Linked DNA regions of Macaca mulatta. The protein of the gene in region 3 interacts with the protein of the main gene of each other region in a pairwise test. Links are inferred from orthologs where the notes say so. Each region holds a gene or a part of one and is shown on either strand. Other genes may lie near its edges.

Region 1 (5,815 bases), on a different chromosome or scaffold from region 3:
GGGCTGATGGAGCCTCTGTGCGGGTTACTCACCCTGTGGTGGGCCTGATGGAGCCTCTGTGCGGGTTACTCACCCTGTGGTGGGGTCTGGCTGGCTGTGTTCTGCAGCTCTGAGGCGGGAGTGGTGCTGGGTAAATGTTGAGTGACTTGAATGAGGTGCTAATGGGGGTTTAGAAGTGTCCTCCCCAGGGCATTCCCTGGGAAATGGGGTGGCAGGTGGCCCCAGTACCGTGAGATGGTTTCCTTCCTGCTGTCGGGAGGCCTGCTCGGGTCTGCATGTGCCTGGGCTTGGCGGGTGAGGGGCAGCCCCGCATTGGAAGCTCTAGGAACTTGGATCTCGGCTGAAGGCCTTTGCTCCAGAGACCAGGGCTCTGAGCTTGAACAGCTCCTCCTAGACACAGCTGTGCTCCACCCGGCGCGGTGGCAGCTGCACGAGGGCCCATGTGCTCTGCACACGTCAGCAGCCCCGAAATGCACGCCCGTCCGACCTTGTCCCTGGTCATGCAGGTTCCGCCTGGGCTGTGACAGGAGGTTCAGCACCCTCAGGCACCTGGCAGGCCCTCCTGACCTTCTCCCCAAGCGACAGGAATGGGAAGGTTGCAGATCCGAGTAGAATTAGGAGGCTCTTCTCAGAGGAGCCTGGCAGAACCTGGCCCTGGATGTGTGCCGAGTGGCAGGGCACCCACAGGGAGATGAGCCAGTGCCCACCTCTCACCTCAGTTTCCCCGTGGTCGCCTCCTTCCTCAGAAGGGGCTGGCCCAGGCTGGTGCCTCCTTGGTCCCTGGAGCATACCTGCTGCCACCTTCCCTGGCCTCTGGCTACAGCAGGCCTCCTGTACTCCACCTGTCCCTGAGCCAGCACGCCTCCACACAGAACACGGCCGCAGATGACCCTCCTCTGCCCTGCATAGCGAGCTGCCGCCTGTGTGGGTCCCACTGCCAGGTTGGGGAGTCAGGAGCTGCCCCCACACCCTGCCTGGGAGCTGTCGCCCGTCTTTTGGATGAGTCAGGAACACCTACGTCAACACTGGGTGGCCGCCCTTGCCACACCTGCGCATAGGCCCTGTGGGGAGAGCCAGGCAGTGGGTGGCGTGGGACAGGTGATGCCCAGTGCCCAGGAGACCTGCATGGCAGTTCCTAAGACAGGCACAAGCGATCATGAGGGACGTACGTGTCTATCTCCCCACCCACCATGGGGTTAGGTCGAGGCAGTCCAGGGAGCGCGTGGGAGGGCTGTGCTCGTTGCATCTGCAGAGATTCTCTGAAGAGGGACCCTGGCTGCCTCCCACTGGGGTAGGCGCGGGCCCAGGTCCCCGACAGCATGACAGTGCTGTGAGACTTCGATGGACCTCACCCGGGGAGCCCAGGCCTGCTCCATGCCAAGGTGGCCACGCACGGCCTCTGCTGTCCTAAGCACAGGCCCCATACAGGACCTGAGGCTGGGGCTCCACGATACTTGGGCTATGTGCTTCCCTGGTGCTTCTCTCCTGGGGATGAAATCACACCCATAGGTAAAGGTTTGGGAATGTAGGGAGACAACAGGAGACAAAGCAAGGTGACAAGGACTCTGGCAGCCACAGAGGCAGCAGGAGGGCCCTGGAGGCTCCTGTTGGGCAACGCAGTTGGGAAAGGGCCCACTAGGTGGGAGAGGCAGGCGCCTGGTGAGTGCTGAGATCTGCACCACGGGAAGGGCTGTGCTCCCAAGGCATGCACGGGGCCTGGGAGCGGAGTGAGTGTGAGCGGGTGTTAGGACGGGGCCTGGGAGCGGAGTGAGTGTGAGCGGGTGTTAGGACGGGGCCTGGGAGCGGAGTGAGTGTGAGCGGGTGTTAGGACGGGGCCTGGGAGCGGAGTGAGTGTGAGCGGGTGTTAGGACGGGGCCTGGGAGCGGAGTGAGTGTGAGCGGGTGTTAGGACGGGGCCTGGGAGCGGAGTGAGTGTGAGCGGGTGTTAGGACGGGGCCTGGGAGCGGAGTGAGTGTGAGCGGGTGTTAGGACGGGGCCTGGGAGCGGAGTGTGCCTTTGAGATATCAAGGGTTGATCGTTGGGTCAGTGTGGTGAGTACATCAGGCTGGTTTTGACTGTTGATTACATGCTAGATGCACTGGCCTAGGCCCTGATTACATTGCTCCCTATAAGTTGCTTCTGGTAGGTGGGGAGGGTCCCATGTTAACACTCTGTAACTGATCATTACAACGCACGTTAATGTGATTGGATTAAGCAGCTCTGAGAGCTTGGAGGATGAAGGTGTTGCATGGCTGAGTGACTGTTCCCTGGTGATCTGTTTATTTGGTGCTGTGTGTGAGGTTTGGGCCGGCTCTGAGTCCCTATCGGGTACCTCTGCCTGTGGGCTCTGGCTGGGCTCTTCTCCAGGGCAGGCAGGTGGACTACAATTAACATAGAGTATCTTTCCACTTTTCCTGTTCTATATTATATTCATGAAATGCATTCAAATTTTTCTGTGTTTCCTTTGCAGAACAAAACTATTGTGAGTCGCGGTATCATTTTCTGCACTCGGCGGATGGGGAGGGCTGTGCCAACATGCTGGTGGAATACTCTACGTCCCGTGGCTTCCGCAGCGAGGTGGACATGTTCGTGGCCCAGGCCGTGCTACAGTAGGTGTTTGTGGCTCTTTGGGTCTTGGCTTCCATCGCTGCCTTGGCCGGGCGGCCTTAGAGCAGGTCCCCTTGTCCCCTGCCCGAGCCATGCTGCAGGATAAACTGAGTTCACTCTGGGCAGAATCCACAGCGCACTTGTCAGCCAGAGTCACCCGTGATTATTCATAAGTTTAACCAGTTTCAAGAAGTATCTTAGAAACTCCCCCTTTCCCGACGGGCACTGGAGCGCCCTCCACACTGCGCCTCTTGCCCGCTGCCGGGAGGCCCCGCGGCCTCTGCTCTCCTCAGGCCTGCCTCAGCCTCTGCCTTCCCGCAGTATCTGGAAAAGCGGAAATGCACACCCAGGTCATAGAATGGTGAGCATCTACCCCGCGGCCCCTCCCGCCAGCTCTCTGGGGCATCCTGCAGGCCGAGCTCCAGGCGCTCCTGCTCCAGGCGCTGGCCTCCGCTTCCTTTCTCATGAAAGCGTTATTTGTGTCCATCAGTTTCTTCCCACAGAACAATGTGGATTTCAAGGCGGGCGTTGGGGAGTTAACGTGGGATCTGGGGACAGACACCCTCTGACCTCGGTGGTGCGCACTGCAGAGCTCTGCCAGGAGCTGGCGTCCGTGACTTAGATGAAAAGCTGGGTCAAACCTGGAGCTCCCTGGCTCTGCACCGCACTGCGTACACGTTTTCTCTGGGCTGACAGTGGCTCTGCCCCTGGGACACTGAGCTCTCCCCGTGGGCCCTCCTCGAACAGGAGCCAGGGTCTGTGTGGCACCCGCCAGCTGCTGTGCCGTGACTGAGTGTTCTGGTGCGGGCAGCCTGAGGAGAGGAGAGCTTGCTCAGTGCATCGCATAGTTGAGTCTCAGGCTGGGGCCCAGCTCCAGAGCCTGGTGACCTTCCCAAGCTTCGTTCTCTTCACCTGTGAATTTCAGGCTTCCCCAGTATGCCCTGCACGTGAGGGGAGACACGTGTGAAGCACTGGGTTCCTCCGTGCCGGGGGCCGCGGGACCCATGGGCGCACGAGCTTGGGAAGGATGTGTCAGAGGCTGGCGCCTGTGCGGCCAGAAGCCATGTTCTCCAGCCCTTCCACCACCAGCATGTTCTCATTTCCAGGTTTCTCTGTTTAAAAAACAAAAGTAGCGCGTCGGTGGTCTTCACGACATACACCCAGAAGCACCCGTCCATCGAGGACGGGCCTCCATTTGTGGAGCCGCTGCTCAACTTCATCTGGTTCCTGCTGCTGGCTGTGGACGGGTGCGTCTTGGTGTCTTGGGGGTGGGGTGTGAATATGTGTGTTGTGTGTCGACGTGGCATGGGTAGCTGTGTGGGTGTGCGTGCAAGTGTAGCCATGGTGGGGGTAGCTGTGTGGGTATATGTATAGGGTATGAGTGTTGGGTGTAGACGTGGTATGGGTGTGTGTGCAGGGCTGTTGGGTGTAGACATGGTAGTGTGGGTAGCTGTGTGGGTGTATGTGCTGTAGTGTGGGTGTGTGCAGGTGAGTGTTGGGTGTAGACTTGTGGGTACAGGGGTGGGTGAGTGTAGACGTGATGGTGTGGGGGGTTGTGTGCAGGTGAGTTGGGTGTCGATATGGTGTGGGTAGCTGTGGGGGGTGTGTGTGCAGGTGCTGGGTGTCCATGTGGTGGTGTGGGTGTGTGTAGATGTGTGCAGGTGTGTTGTAGGTGTAGAGGGGGGAGTGTGTGTAGGTATGGGGTGTCTGGTGTGGGTAGTTGTGTTGGGGTACGTGCAAGTATGTGTGTTGGGTGTAGACATGGTGAGGGTGGGTGTGTGGTGTGTAGGTGTGTTGTCTGTAGACGTGTGGGTAGCTGCGTGGGGGCGTGCAGGTGTATTGGGTATAGACGTGGCAATATGGGTTGCTGTACGTGTGCAGGTATTGAGTGTAGACATGGCATGGGTAGCCATCTGGGTGTTTGTAGGTGTTAGGTGTGGGTGTGGCGGTATGCACAGGTGAGTGCTGGGTGTAGGCACGGTGTGTGCAGATGTGTTGGGTGTGTAGGCGTGTGTGCAGGTGAGTGCTGGGTGTAGGCACGGTGTGTGCAGATGTGTTGGGTGTGTAGGCGTGTGTGCAGGTGAGTGCTGGGTGTAGGCACAGTGTGTGCAGATGTGTTGGATGTGTAGGCGTGTGTGCAGGTGAGTGCTGGGTGTAGGCACAGTGGTGTGTGCAGGTGTGTGTTCGGTGCAGGCGCGGTGGTGTGTGCAGGTGAGTGGTGAGTGCAGGTATGTGTTCAGTGCAGGTGAGTGGTGAGTGCAAGTATGTGTTCAGTGCAGGTGAGTGGTGAGTGCAGGTATGTGTTCAGTGCAGGCGCGGTGGTGTGTGCAGGTGAGTGTTGGGAGTAGGTGCGGTGGTTTGTGCAGGTGAGTGGTGTTTACAGGTGTTTGGTGCAGGCATGGTGGTGTGTGCAGTTGTGTACGCAGGTGAGTTGGGTGTAGGCACGGTGGTGTGTGCAGGTGTGCAGTGTAGGCGTGGTGGTGTGCAGGTGAGTGGTGGGCGTAGGTGCGGTGGGGTGTGCAGGTGAGTGGTGGGCGTAGGTGCGGTGGGGTGTGTAGGTAAGTGTGCACAAATGAGTGTTGGGTGCAGGTGCATGTTTGGTGTAGGCGTGGTATGTGCAGGTTGTGTGTAGCCACGGTGGTGTGTGCAGGTGAGTGTTGAGTGTAGGTGTGTGTGCAGGTGAGTGGTGTGCGCAGGTGAGTGGTGTAGGTGTGACGTGTGCAGGTGAGTGATGCGCAGGTGAGTTGTGTGTAGGCACGGTGGTGTGTGCAGGTGTGTTGGGCCTAGGTGCGGTGGTGTGCACAGGTCAGTGCTGGGTGTAGGCGTGGTGGTGTATGTTTTAATGGTGTGTGCAGGTGAGTGGGGTATAGGCACGGTGTGTGTGGGTAAACTGGGCGTAAGTGCAGTGGTGTGTGCGGGTGTGCAGTGGAGGCACGGTGTGCAAGTGTGTGTTGGGTATAGGTACGGGGGTGTTAAGGTGAGTGGTGTGGGCAGGTGTGTGTAGGCGCAGTGGTGTGGGCAGGTGAGTGGTGTGTGCGGGTGAGTGCTGGGTGTAGGCTCGGTAGTGTGCGCAGGTGAGTGGCATAGGCGCAGTGTATGCAGGTGAGTGGTGTGTGCAAGTGAGTGTTGGGTGTAGGTGTGTATGCAGGTGTATGTTGGGTGTAGGTGCAGTGGTGTATATAGGCGTGGTGGTGTGTGCAGGTGACGTG
Region 2 (5,815 bases), on a different chromosome or scaffold from region 3:
AAATATGTCCTCTCTCAAAGACCCCTTCTTCATTTAAATCCTATTCTTTATCATCATATATAGGATGATCTGGATATTGAAAAAGACATTAAAATTCCAATAAAAATAGTGTTTTGGGAACTAATATAGTCCTAGAAATTCATTTCTAGGTTAGAAATATAATATAAACTATTTTCCTTCTTTAGGGGATGTATTAGTTTCCTGTGGCTGCTGTAACAAATTACCACAAAACTTAATAGCTTAAAACACAGACACATTTGTTATCTTATAGTTCTAGAGGTCAGAAGTCTATGATGGATCACACTGGGCTAAAATACAAGTGTCACCAAGGCTGTATTCCCTCTGGAGTCTCGCTTCTAGAGGCTGCCCACATTCCCCGGCTTGTGACCCCCTTCCATCTTCAGAGCCAGCAGTGGCCAGTCAAGTCTTTCTCATGCTGTATCACTCTGACATTTACTCATCTGCCTCCTCCTCCCACATTTAAGGATGCTGTGATTACCTTGGGCCCATCCAGGTAAACTTAGATAATCTTATTTTAAGGTGAGCTGATAAGAAATCTCAGTGCCACTTACAGCCTTAATTCCCCCTTGCATGAAAGGTAACATATTCACAGGTTATGGGGTGAGGGTATGGACATCTTTTGGGAGGTGACTGTTATTTTGCCTGTCACAGGGGAAAAAATAAGTACATTTGGCCTTTGAACAACATGAGTTTGAACTGCATGGGTCCACTATGTACGAATTTTTGTCAATATATTGGAAAATTTGTTGAGATTTGTGACAATTTGAAAAAAACTTGCAGATGAACCTTGTAGCCTGGAAATATTTTTAAAAATTAAGAAAAATTAGGTGTGTCATGAATGCATGAAATATATATAGGTACTAATCTATTTTATCATTTACTATATATATATATACACACAAATCTATTATAAAGAAATAAAATTTATCAACATATGCATGGAAGCACTTAGAGACCATACATAGCACCATTCACAGTCAAGAGAAATGTAAACAAACATAAAGATGCAGTGTTAAATCATAATTCCATTAAATTAACTGTAGTACAGATTATACTACTGTAACAATTTCATAGCTGCCTCCTGTTGCTATTCAGCAAGCTCAAGTGTTTTGAGTATCTGCTTAAAATAACATGTGATACTGTTGTCTCCATCTGAGCAGTTCCTATCTCCAGTAAATTGCGTATCATGGTAAAAAGTGGTCTCTTATGGTTCTTGTGTATTTTTCCTTGTGTTTAATGTAATGCTGCAAACCTCGAATAACACCATGAGACCTATACAAACAGCAACTAGTGATGCTGGAAATGCTGCCAAGAAGCAGAGAAAAGTCATGACCCTACAAGAAAAAGTTGAATTACTTGATATGTACTGTAGATTAAGGTCTGTACCTGTAGTTGCAGGCCATTTCAGACATTCAATTCATCTTGTAAACAGATGATGTAAACTTATGGTATCGATAAAATACAGTACAGTACTGTAAAAGTATTTTCTCTTCCTTATTATTTTCTTAATACCATTTTCTTTTTTTCAGCTTACTTTATTGTAAGACTAGAGTATATAAGACATATAACATACAAAATATGTTAATCAGCTATTTATGATATAGGGTAAGGCTTCCAGTCAACAGTAGGCTATTAGTTGTTAAGTTTTTAGGGAGTCAAAAGTTATACACAGATTTTCGGCTGCATGGAGGATCGAAGCCCCTAACCCCTGTGTTGCTCAAGGTCAACTGCCTTTAACCTGCGACTTGTCCGTTAGACGTTCTTAGTCAAATAGTCCAACACCGAGTGGAGAATTTGGCTCCCTGCTCTGCCAGTCACTACCTATTGGAGCAAGACATGTCTTCTTTATTGATTAATTTTTATTATTTTCCAATAAGCCTTTTGCATTCCTACTTTATCTTCTCATGTTTACTCAATCTTCTCATGCCTGCAGTGAAGATGACATATAGCTCTCACTTCATCTAAATGGGATACGTTTAAGCTTTACTGTGATTTGTTTCCAACAGTTATGTTATTTATTCTAGGAAGAAGAAATGAAAATGCCTGCAAAGGAGCTCCTAAAACCTGTACCTTACTAGAAAAGTTCCCCGAGACAACAGGATGCAGAAGAGGACAGGTACCAAGAGTGTCGTGCTGGGGAGAACACAATTAATTGTTAGGAATAAGGGCATGTTGACCTTTACAAAGAAATGGTTGTTTCCTTTGGCCCAGTGAATGCCTCTTTTTACGTGCCCTTTTTACTGAAACATAATTTTATGTGGTTGACGTCAGAATTGAGGGTGGAAAATGTTCAGTGTTTATCGCTTTGTGGAAAATGTGAGTGCTTATTTTTAGTTCCTTCACAAATAAGACTTGAATATAAATATTAAATCTTACAAAGGCGCTAATCCAAACTGACAGTAATTTTTTACTGTCACCTTAACTTAGCAGTTCCTCCACACCTTGATAAATGGCTGAATGGAGTGTCATGTGTTCTATGCAGATCAAATATTCCATCATGCACCCTGGGACTCACGTGTGGCCGCACACAGGGCCCACAAACTGCAGGCTCCGAATGCACCTGGGCTTGGTGATTCCCAAGGAAGGCTGCAAGATTCGATGTGCCAATGAGACCAAGTATGTGTCCTCTGTTATCCATCATATCCATCACCTCTGAGGATGAGAGTTTGTTACAACAGAGCTGTGTTCCCTTGGATTACTTGTCTTCTTTTGTAGCTGAAGCAGACTGGAGCAAAGTGATATTAATCCAAACTCTTGAGTCTATACCCCTTCTTGGTGCTTTCTGTTAGCCTGGAGACATTGCCCAGCTCTAGGGCTGCCCTCTTCCATTATTTCTCAGCAGAGTACTTATCTAGTTGAGGAGCTGCCTTGTTTCTCTCTGTGGGTAGACAGATGTGCATTCAGAGTCAGCCAGCATGCATTGAGCCCTGCAGATGTTATGCATTGTGTTTCCTGCATTGCATCCTGACTTATTCATGAATACAAGAAGTCCCCCTAACTGAAGAACTCACCCCATGATATTTATACATTTTGATCTAGAGGAGATGGTATGGTACAATGGAAGCTGGCTGCCTTTTTCAAATCCCAGCTCTGCCACCTAACCTGTGTAACCTTGGCTAGTTACTTAATCCCTTCAAACATCAGCCTTCTTGCTTATAAAATTGGCAGTGATAACATCTACTTTGCAGGGTTGTTGTATGGATTAACTGGAATAATGTCTACAAGGTGCTCAGTCCATGTTCTGGTATCAGTAGGGACGTGATGAATGTTAGATCTCCTCTCCCTCCCTTGCCTCTTGCTTTCCTAATCATGACAGGTTTATTCATGATCTTTTGAACAAACCATACTTGCTCTGGCTTCTGTACCTGTGGTGCTGATAATCTCCGTCCCTAGAATGCCCATCTTTTCACCTATCCAAAATTAGTTTTATAAAAATACAACCTCTCAGAGTATATATCCTCAGTAATCCCATTCCCTATCTTCTAATGCTCTTTATTCATTAATATAACATTACCCTTATCTCTATAGCAAGCTGTATGTAAGCTCCTGGAGATCAGAAACCACGTTATTGTCATCTTACACACATTTCTTATTGTCCTTAATAGAGGTCTGAGTGGAGGATGAGTGCTCAGGGGTCTGCAGAATTGTTTATTTGGTTATTGGCAGATAAGTGCCCTGGGCAGCCCATGGTGCTATGGGAAATTCAGAGATGACTGAGAAGGGGCCGTCCTCTGCTGGGTGTGTTGCTCAGGAAGATAACGCAAGATTGAAGGCCATAGGGGTCGTAAAAGTGGTACTACAATGGCCTCTCTACAGAAAAGCTAAAAATACTACAGATGGCTCCATGAGCAGGAGCCTCACCTGCTTGCAGGGACTCAACTTGCAGAGTGGCAGTTTTTGAAGACAAGAAGGATTCGAACATTGAAAGCTAAAGAGGGATATTCCGAAACAGTATCCATTAAAGGCACAGAGGCCAAAAAGTATGGCCACATATGAAGAATATTGAATAATACATCAGCAGCCAGCAGTGTATGCTACATAAAGAATAAGGTTGCAAAGTGAAAGAGTCTTTTTTAGAAACTAAATCATAGGAGGCTTTGAATCCCAAACTAATGGGATCAGACCTTTATTAGGAAGTTACTGTGGAACCCATGGGTGAATCCTGTGGGGACAGTGGGAAGAACAATTAGCAGGCTATCACAGTGGCCCACCCAAAAGATAAGCAGAGCTGGAATTGGGATGCTGGAAAGAAATGGAGACTAGAGAGCAGATGCAAGAGATATCAGGTGACTCTTGAATGTGTGGTACAGGAATGAGGCATCCAAGATGCTGCTGCAATTGCAGTCTTTGGACAGTGTAGGGTGGCGATGCTTGAGCAAATCTTGGGAATTTGGGAGACATGAGGCAAGTTCAAGGAAAGGAAGAGGAATTCAGTGCTTGTGCATATTTTATTTAGTTACTATTGGAACACACTTGTAGAACCATCCAGGAGGTGGCTGGAAATAGAGACCTGGCACTCAGGGGAGAATGTAAGTCTAGAGATAAAGATTTGAGAGTCACGCTTAGCAAGAACTTCTAGAGGACGCTTGAGACAATCAAACGATGACAGAAATGAAAAGGTTCCATGAAAACATCTATATTTAAAAGACAGAAGGAGGAAGGAGAACCAAGAAGGAAATGGGGCAAGAAAGGCAGAATCAGGTAGACCAGGAGGAGGAATCAGGGATCACTGGACAGGTAGAAGTTTTTTCAGGCATGAAATGAATCTTGTCTTACGTTGGGAACCTGGTTTGGGTCTTCACGGTCTCTCTGCCAAAGTGAAAAAGAGCAGGGACACATTGGGGGATGCCAGGAATTTAGAGAAGAGGTGGGAGAATGCTGGAGCAGGCACAGATTGACAAGGTAACTCCTTGGAGATCACATGAGAGCATGAGGCAGTGGAGATGGAGAAGAGCACCCAGCCACACGCCTCAGTGCTCCTTAGGCTTTTAGGGTTTATTTCTTCTTTCACCAGCTCACTCGCTCTCTCCCTCACCTCCTACCTCCTATGTTTTCTCTCTCCCTCCCTCCTTTTCTTCCTCCTCCCTCCCTTCTTTCCTTTCTGCCTGCCTGCCTCCCTCCTTCTCTCCCTCCCTGCCTCCCTGCCTCCCCATGTTCCTGCATTCTTGCCTTCCTCATTCTCTTCTGTATTCTGCTTGTAGATACTTGGAACAAAATCACTAGAGAAAAATCCACTTAGGGCCAGGCAAGGTGGTTCATGCCTATAATCCCAGAACTTTGGGAAGCCAAAGCAGGAGGATTGCTTGAGGCCAGGAGTTCAAGACCAGCCTGAGCAACACAGTAAGACCCCATTTCCACAGAAACAATTTTTTTTTTTTTTTTTTGAGACGGAGTCTCGCTCTGTCGCCCAAGCTGGAGTACAATGGGGTGATCTCGGCTCACTGCAAGCTCTGCCTCCCAGGTTCACCCTATTCTCCTGCCTCAGCCTCCCGAGTAGCTGGGACTACAGGTGCCCACCACCATGCCCGGCTAATTTGTTTGTATTTTTAGTAGAGACGGGGTTTCACCGTGTTAGCCAGGATGGTCTTGATCTCCTGACCTCGGGATCTGCCTGCCTGGGCCTCCCAAAGTTCTGGGATTACAGGCATGAGCCACCACGCCCAGTCACAAAAACAACTTTTAAAAAAAATATGCTAGCATGATGACATGCACCTGTACTCCCAGCTACTCAGGAAGCAGAGGCAGGTTAATTGCTTGAGCCCAGGAGTTCAAGGGTGCAGCGAGCTGTAATTAC
Region 3 (6,357 bases):
GTTTATTTATTTATTTACTTACTTATTTATTTTTGTGGAGACAGGGTTTTGTCATGTTGCCCAAGCTGTTCTCAAACTCCTAGGCTCCAGCAATCCTCTCACCTCAGCCTCCCAAAGTGCTGGGATTCCAGACATGAGCCACCGAGCCCTGCCTCTCGGGTGCTCAAAATTCAGCGGTACTCGGGCTGGTGTTTCCCAGACTGGGGCTCCCGGGGAATGAGACTGTCGTCTGAGACTGGGGCTGTAGCTTGCTCTCTGGAGTTGGTTTCACTTGGGGCTGGGAACAGATTCGTTTTCCAGGGCTAGAATCCCCGTCTGACACCAATAATAATCTCTGTGAGGGGAAGGACCTCATTTGGGGTTGTGTACTCAGCTGACACCTGGGAACTTGAGTCCCTAACTAGGGAATAGAGAGCATGTGTAGCCTGGGCCCCCCAAGTAAAAATAGGGGTATCTTTGGGTTGGGTACTCATCTCTGGATAAAGCTCACATTTTTGGGGGACATAGGGGCTCTGTGGAGCTGAGGTCCCCGTCTGAGAATCAGCTTTTTTTTTTTTAATTTTGTTATTGTTATTATTATTTTATTTTATTTTTTGAGACTGAGTCTCGCTCTGTCGCCCAGGCTGGAGTGCAGTGGTGTCATCTCAGCTCACTGCAGCTTCCGCCTCCCGAGTTCAAGCAATTCTTCTGCCTCGGCCTGGTCTTGAATTCCTGACCTCGTGATCTGCCTGCCTCGGCCTCCCAAAGTGCTGGGATTACAGGCGTGAGCCAACGCGCCCGGCCTATTTTATTTATTTATTTATTTATTTTTAATTAATTAAATATTTTTTTTGAGACAGAATTTCACTCTTTCACCGAGGCTGGAGTGAAGTGGCGCAATCTCGGCTCGCTGCAACCTCTGCCCTCCGGATTCAAGCGATTCTCCTGCCTCAGCCTCCTGAGTAGCTGGGATTACAGGTGCGTGCCACCACGCCCGGCTAATTTTTGTATTTTCAGTAGAGACGGGATTTCACCATCTTAGCCAGGCTGGTCCTGAACTCTTGACCTCAGGTGATCCACCCGCCTCGGCCTCCCAAAGTGGTAGGATTACAGGCGTGAGCCACCGCGCCCGGCCAGAGAATCAGATTAGTTTATGAGCTGTAGTATTCAGATGAAGTTGGGGTTATTTCTAGGCTCTAATCTCCCTCTAAAGTTAAGAGTGTCATGGGCTGGGGTCTCCATCAAGGGCCTGGAACCCAGCTTGTGTTCCTGCTCCAGGACAGAGGTTCAAACATGAAATATGGTATACTGGAGTCTTCTCTTGAAATACAAGGCGGCTTTTAGGAATTAGGGTCCCTTCTACCAAACGGAGCGCAATTACAGGCATGGTGCCTGCTAGGCATGGGAGATCAGGGCGTCCAGGACAAAACTCTGGACTCGCCCACTCTAACCCACTGTCAGCCCGGGGACCTATAGCCAGCCAACTGAGTCAATTTGTCTATGATTGGTTTGCGGCAAGAGCCAAGTGGCTCACAGCCTATTGAATAATAGAGGAGGCGGACCTGAGGCGAGGTTGGGACCTAACGTGAATAATAGAGGGAAAATGATGGACATAAAGTTGAGCCTATGGAGGCCAAGGCGGACCGGGAATCTAACTTCACCGAAAGGGCATGGACTGGGTGTTTGGCTGGTTGCTAAGGAGAGGTTGGCGCTACCGGAGCATGAGAGTGATTGGTGGACGTAAGAAAAGATGTAGCCAATGAAAGGAGAGCTGCGAGACTTAGGGCCCAATCAGTGAAGGGGAGTAGCCTGGACCGTACCGATGTGTTCATTAGGTAGGGGGAGCCCTTGGAAAATTATAGACCAGAGGTTGACAAGGTGAACCCTGGAAGCAAAGAATAGTGAAAATGTAATTTATATTTCTCCTAAAATGGAAGTAATGAGGAAATTAACTTATGCTTCTAGCCTCGATAGGAATGTGATAGAGAATTTCCCCTGTAGGTGCTTCGTATGGTGCGCTCCGCTGGATCACGTGAGCCAGTTCCAAGATGGCGGCAGGGGTGGCCGGGTGGGGGGTTGAGGCAGAGGAGTTCGAAGATGCGCCTGATGTGGAGCCGCTGGAGCCTACGCTTAGCAATATCATCGAGCAGCGCAGCCTGAAGTGGATCTTCGTCGGGGGCAAGGGTGGAGTGGGCAAGACCACCTGCAGGTAAGGAGGCTGCGGCGGGGGCCAGGAGGCGTGTAGGATATACTACTGGGCGAAGGGGAGGCCAAGGACCGGCTTTTCCACCACGACCCGGGCAAGGGGGCTGGCGGGGGTCTTTGGGTTTCACTCTCTGGAAGTTACCTGGAGCACATGAGAAAGACCTCTTCAATGCAGCCCTAGCACCCTCTGAATTGGACCATCCATGTTGGGGCTCAAGTGCAGCGCCCGGGGGACGGGGAAGCACTTAGATGTCCCCATCAGCTGGACCGTACCTGAGTGAATCCAGAGTTGTGGGTAGGGGCGGCACCAGAACAAGCAATCCTAGTTTGGTAAACCTTGGTGTTTTATGTCCAAGGCGAGAGTGAGGGTGGAAAGCGAGGGAGAGGGCACATGATCAGACTGTCCCAGGCAGCTACAGGCAGGAGGTGTCCATGCGGCAGATTATCCTGGACAAGTGGACCGAACCATCCTGTGCTTACCAGGGAGTGCAAGGGATCCCTTAGCTTATTAAAGAAGGGAGCACGGAGTCAAGCTATGCTGGCTGGACAGCTGGGCCATGCCACTGTGTGCCCAGCAAAGAAGCAGCAGGCACTAGGCCAGACATACTCAGTCATTTGAACCTTATCTCTCTAGTCCACATAGAAGGGTCAGTAGATAAATCAGAGAGGGTTCCTTTGTAGGGATTGAGGCTCAATCCCACCGTAACCCATACTCTCCTCTCAAGGCCCCTGCTGATCCGGGTCACCTGCTCCAGGGAAACTACCACTACCCTTGCAGACCCAGGGAACAGAGCCCAACCCCTCATCCCCTGTCTTTTTACTTTTCCTTTACCCAGCTGCAGTCTGGCAGTCCAGCTCTCCAAGGGGCGTGAGAGTGTGCTGATCATCTCCACAGACCCAGCTCACAACATCTCAGATGCTTTTGACCAGAAGTTCTCAAAGGTGCCTACTAAGGTCAAAGGCTATGACAACCTCTTTGCTATGGTGAGTGGAGCAGGGCTTAGCCCCCACTTCTGGGAAAGGCCTCTTCCAGCCTTTCCTGTGTGCACACACCAGCAGCCACCATGTCCTATCCACTCTTTATCCTGTGTCTCTCCTGTTTCACCCCTTCCTCAACATACTCACAAGAGAACCAATGAGGAATTGCAGAGCGGGAAGCACACCAGAGTGCCTAAAGCTTATTGAGCCAGGGTAGGGGAAGAAGAAGTTGGAGAGACCAATCAGAGCCACAAAGTGTGGTACCTTATGGGCCACGGTAAGAAGTTTGGCATTGACTCCAGGTTCAATGGAAAGCTGTTTGTTTTAAGCAGGGCAGTGTCGTGGCCAAATTCATGTTTGAAAAGTACCCTCTGATGGCCAGGTGGAGATTTAATTGTCAGTCAGTGTAGAAGCATGGAAACTAACAAGGAGATTGGGGATGTAACCAGTTGAGAGATGACAACATCCTGGACTCTGGTGGAGGCAGAATGCTGGGGGAGACATAGTCAGATTTGAGATTTTTTTCTTTTTTTTTAAACACTCAGGAATCCTGTGTCTCCCAGGCTGGAGTGCAGTGACCCGATCTAGGCTCACTGCAACCTCCACTTCCCAGGTTCAAGCAATTCTCATGCCTCAACCTATTGAGTAGCTGGCATTACAGGCATGCCCCACCACTGCCTGTTAATTTTGTATTTTTAGTAGAGACAGATTTTCACCATGTTGGCCAGGCTGGGCTTGAAGTCCTGACCTCAAATGATCTGACCGCCTCGGCCTCCCACAGTGCTGAGATTACAGGCATGAGCCACCACATCGCACTAGGGATGTATTTTGGAAGTAAGCCAGTGAGATTACTTGGTTGTAATGGGTGAGAGAAAGAAATGAATTGATTACATGTCTTTCTTGTCTCTCTAAGCAGCTAGGATGGGGAAAACTAGGAAAGGAGTAGGTGTAGAATGGACAAATCAAGAATTTCATTTTCTCCGCAGTGAATCTGAGGTGCCCACTGGAAATCCAAGTGGAAACATCATGACAATAGCTTGTTTATGTGAGTCTGGAGCCCAGAGGAGGTTGGCATTCATTTGGAAGTCACTGTCCCAAGGTTGGCATTTAAAGCTGTGTGAGGGCTGGGCATCGTGGCTCACGCCTGTAATCCTAGCACTTTGAGAAGCCAAGGTGGGCGGATCACTTGAGGTTAGGAGTTCGAGACCAGCCTGGCCAATATGGTGAAACCCTGTCTCTACTAAAAATATAAAACAGGGCCGGGCGCGGTGGCTCAAGCCTGTAATCCCAGCACTTTGGGAGGCCGAGACGGGTGGATCACGAGGTCAGGAGATCGAGACCATCCTGGCGAACACCGTGAAACCCCGTCTCTACTAAAAAATACAAAAAACTAGCCGGGCGAGGTGGTGGGCGCCTGTAGTCCCAGCTACTCGGGAGGCTGAGGCAGGAGAATGGCGTAAACCTGGGAGGCGGAGCTTGCAGTGAGCTGAGATCCGGCCACTGCACTCCAGCCCGGGCTACAGGGCGAGACTCTGTCTCAAAAAAATAAAAAAATAAAACAGTTAGCTGGGCACGATGGCAGGTGCCTGTAATACCAACTACTCATGAGGCTAAGGCAGGAAAATCACTTGAACCCAGGAGACAGAGATTCTCCTGCGTCAGCCTCCAGAGTAACTGGGATTATAGGTGCCTACCACCATGCCCGGCTAATTTTTGTATTTCTGTATTTTTAGTAGAGACGAGGTTTTACCACGTCTCAAAAAAAAAAAAAAATGCTGGGCACGGTGGCTCACTCCTGTCATCCCAGCACTTTGGGAGTCCCAGGCGGGTGGATCACAAGGTCAGGATATCCAGACCATCCTGGCTAACACGGTGAAACCCCATCTTTACTAAAAATACAAAAAAAAATTGCCTGGGCATGGTGGCAGGCATCTATAGTCCCAGCTGCTCCGGAGGCTGAGTCAGGAGAATGACATGAACCTGGGAGGCGGAGCTTGCAGAGAGCCGAAATCGCGCCACTGTACTCCAGCCTGGGTGACAGAGGGAGAATCTGTCTCAAAAAACAAAATAAAGGCCGGACGCGGTGGCTCATGCCTGTAATCCCAGCACTTTGGGAGGCCGAGACAGGTGAATCACGAGGTCAGGAGATTGAGACCATCTTGGCTAACGCAGTGAAACCCCATCTCTAGTGAAAATACAAAAAAATAGCCGGGTGCGGTGGCGGGCACCTGTAGTCCCAGCTATTCAGGAGGCTGAGGCAGGAGAATGGCGTGAACCTGGGAGGCAGAGCTTGCAGTGAGCCGAGATCGCACCACTGCACTCCAGCCTGGGCAGCAGAGCAAGACTCAGTCTCACAAAAAAAGAAAAAAAAGTACAAAAATTAGCCAGGTGTTAGCCGGGCACAGTGGCAGGCGCCTGTAATCCCAGCTACTTGGGAGGCTGAGGCAGAAGAATCGCTTGAACTCGGAGGGGCAGAGGTTGCAATGAGCCGAGATCGTGCCACTGCATTCCAGCCTGGGCGACAGTGAGATTCCATCTCAAAAATAAATAAATAAATAAACTAGCCAGGCATGGTGGCAGGCACCTGTAGTCCCAGCTACTCGGGAGGCTGAGGCAGGAGAATGGCGTGAACCCGGGACATAGAGCTTGCAGTGAGCTGAGATGGCACCACTGCATTACAGCCTGAACGACAGAGCAAGACTCCATTTCAAAAAAAATAAAGAAATAAAAAATAAAATAAAGAGATGCTGCAGAGTGAGGATGCTGGCAGAGGACAGTCCTCAGGTGGGATGAGCTCCATCCAGTATACAGACCCAGGACTTGGGTGCTGCCAGGGTCAAGGACTGGGAGGGAAACAGGAGGAATTGGGGCACTTCCTCAGCAGAGATGAGGGTGTTGGCAGCCAATGGCTTCTCTTTCTCACCAAGGAACGGGCAAGGGCCTCAGCAGTGAATGGGATAGAAGTTTGAGGAGGGAGAAAATGCCACATAAACGCTTCTTAAGGTAGCAGAGGGAACCAGAATTGTCTGGATCACCAAGTGTCCATTGGAGATTTGTGTTCAGAAGAGAGGAGCAAGGGCCGGGCGCGGTGGCTCACGCCTGTAATCCCAGCACTTTGGGAGGCTGAGGAGGGTGGATCACGAGGTCAGGAGTTAAAAGACCAGCCTGGCCAAGGTGGTGAAACTCCGTCTGTAC

What was found. The genes of interacting proteins can lie anywhere in the genome.
Region 1: the proteins of GET3 (region 3) and GET4 interact in binary tests that used the Homo sapiens proteins (3 or more experiments, as listed by UniProt). The link is inferred for Macaca mulatta from reciprocal best matches to the Homo sapiens genes GET3 and GET4.
Region 2: the proteins of GET3 (region 3) and ASPH interact in binary tests that used the Homo sapiens proteins (3 or more experiments, as listed by UniProt). The two-hybrid records come from large-scale screens. The link is inferred for Macaca mulatta from reciprocal best matches to the Homo sapiens genes GET3 and ASPH.

What each region holds. Positions count from the first base shown.
Region 1 is NC_133408.1:34,830,371-34,836,185, forward strand, and holds part of GET4 (Golgi to ER traffic protein 4 homolog), read left to right. Parts: intron 1-2,469; coding exon 2,470-2,608; intron 2,609-3,712; coding exon 3,713-3,853; intron 3,854-3,859; exon of another isoform or gene 3,860-4,851; intron 4,852-4,885; exon of another isoform or gene 4,886-5,815. UniProt on the Homo sapiens protein: As part of a cytosolic protein quality control complex, the BAG6/BAT3 complex, maintains misfolded and hydrophobic patches-containing proteins in a soluble state and participates in their proper delivery to the endoplasmic reticulum or alternatively can promote their sorting to the proteasome where they undergo degradation.
Region 2 is NC_133413.1:72,127,162-72,132,976, reverse strand, and holds part of ASPH (aspartyl/asparaginyl beta-hydroxylase), read left to right. Parts: intron 1-2,045; coding exon 2,046-2,137; intron 2,138-2,503; coding exon 2,504-2,637; intron 2,638-5,815.
Region 3 is NC_133424.1:13,292,441-13,298,797, forward strand, and holds the start of GET3 (ATPase GET3), read left to right. Parts: upstream 1-2,018; 5' UTR 2,019-2,027; coding exon 2,028-2,188; intron 2,189-3,020; coding exon 3,021-3,168; intron 3,169-6,357.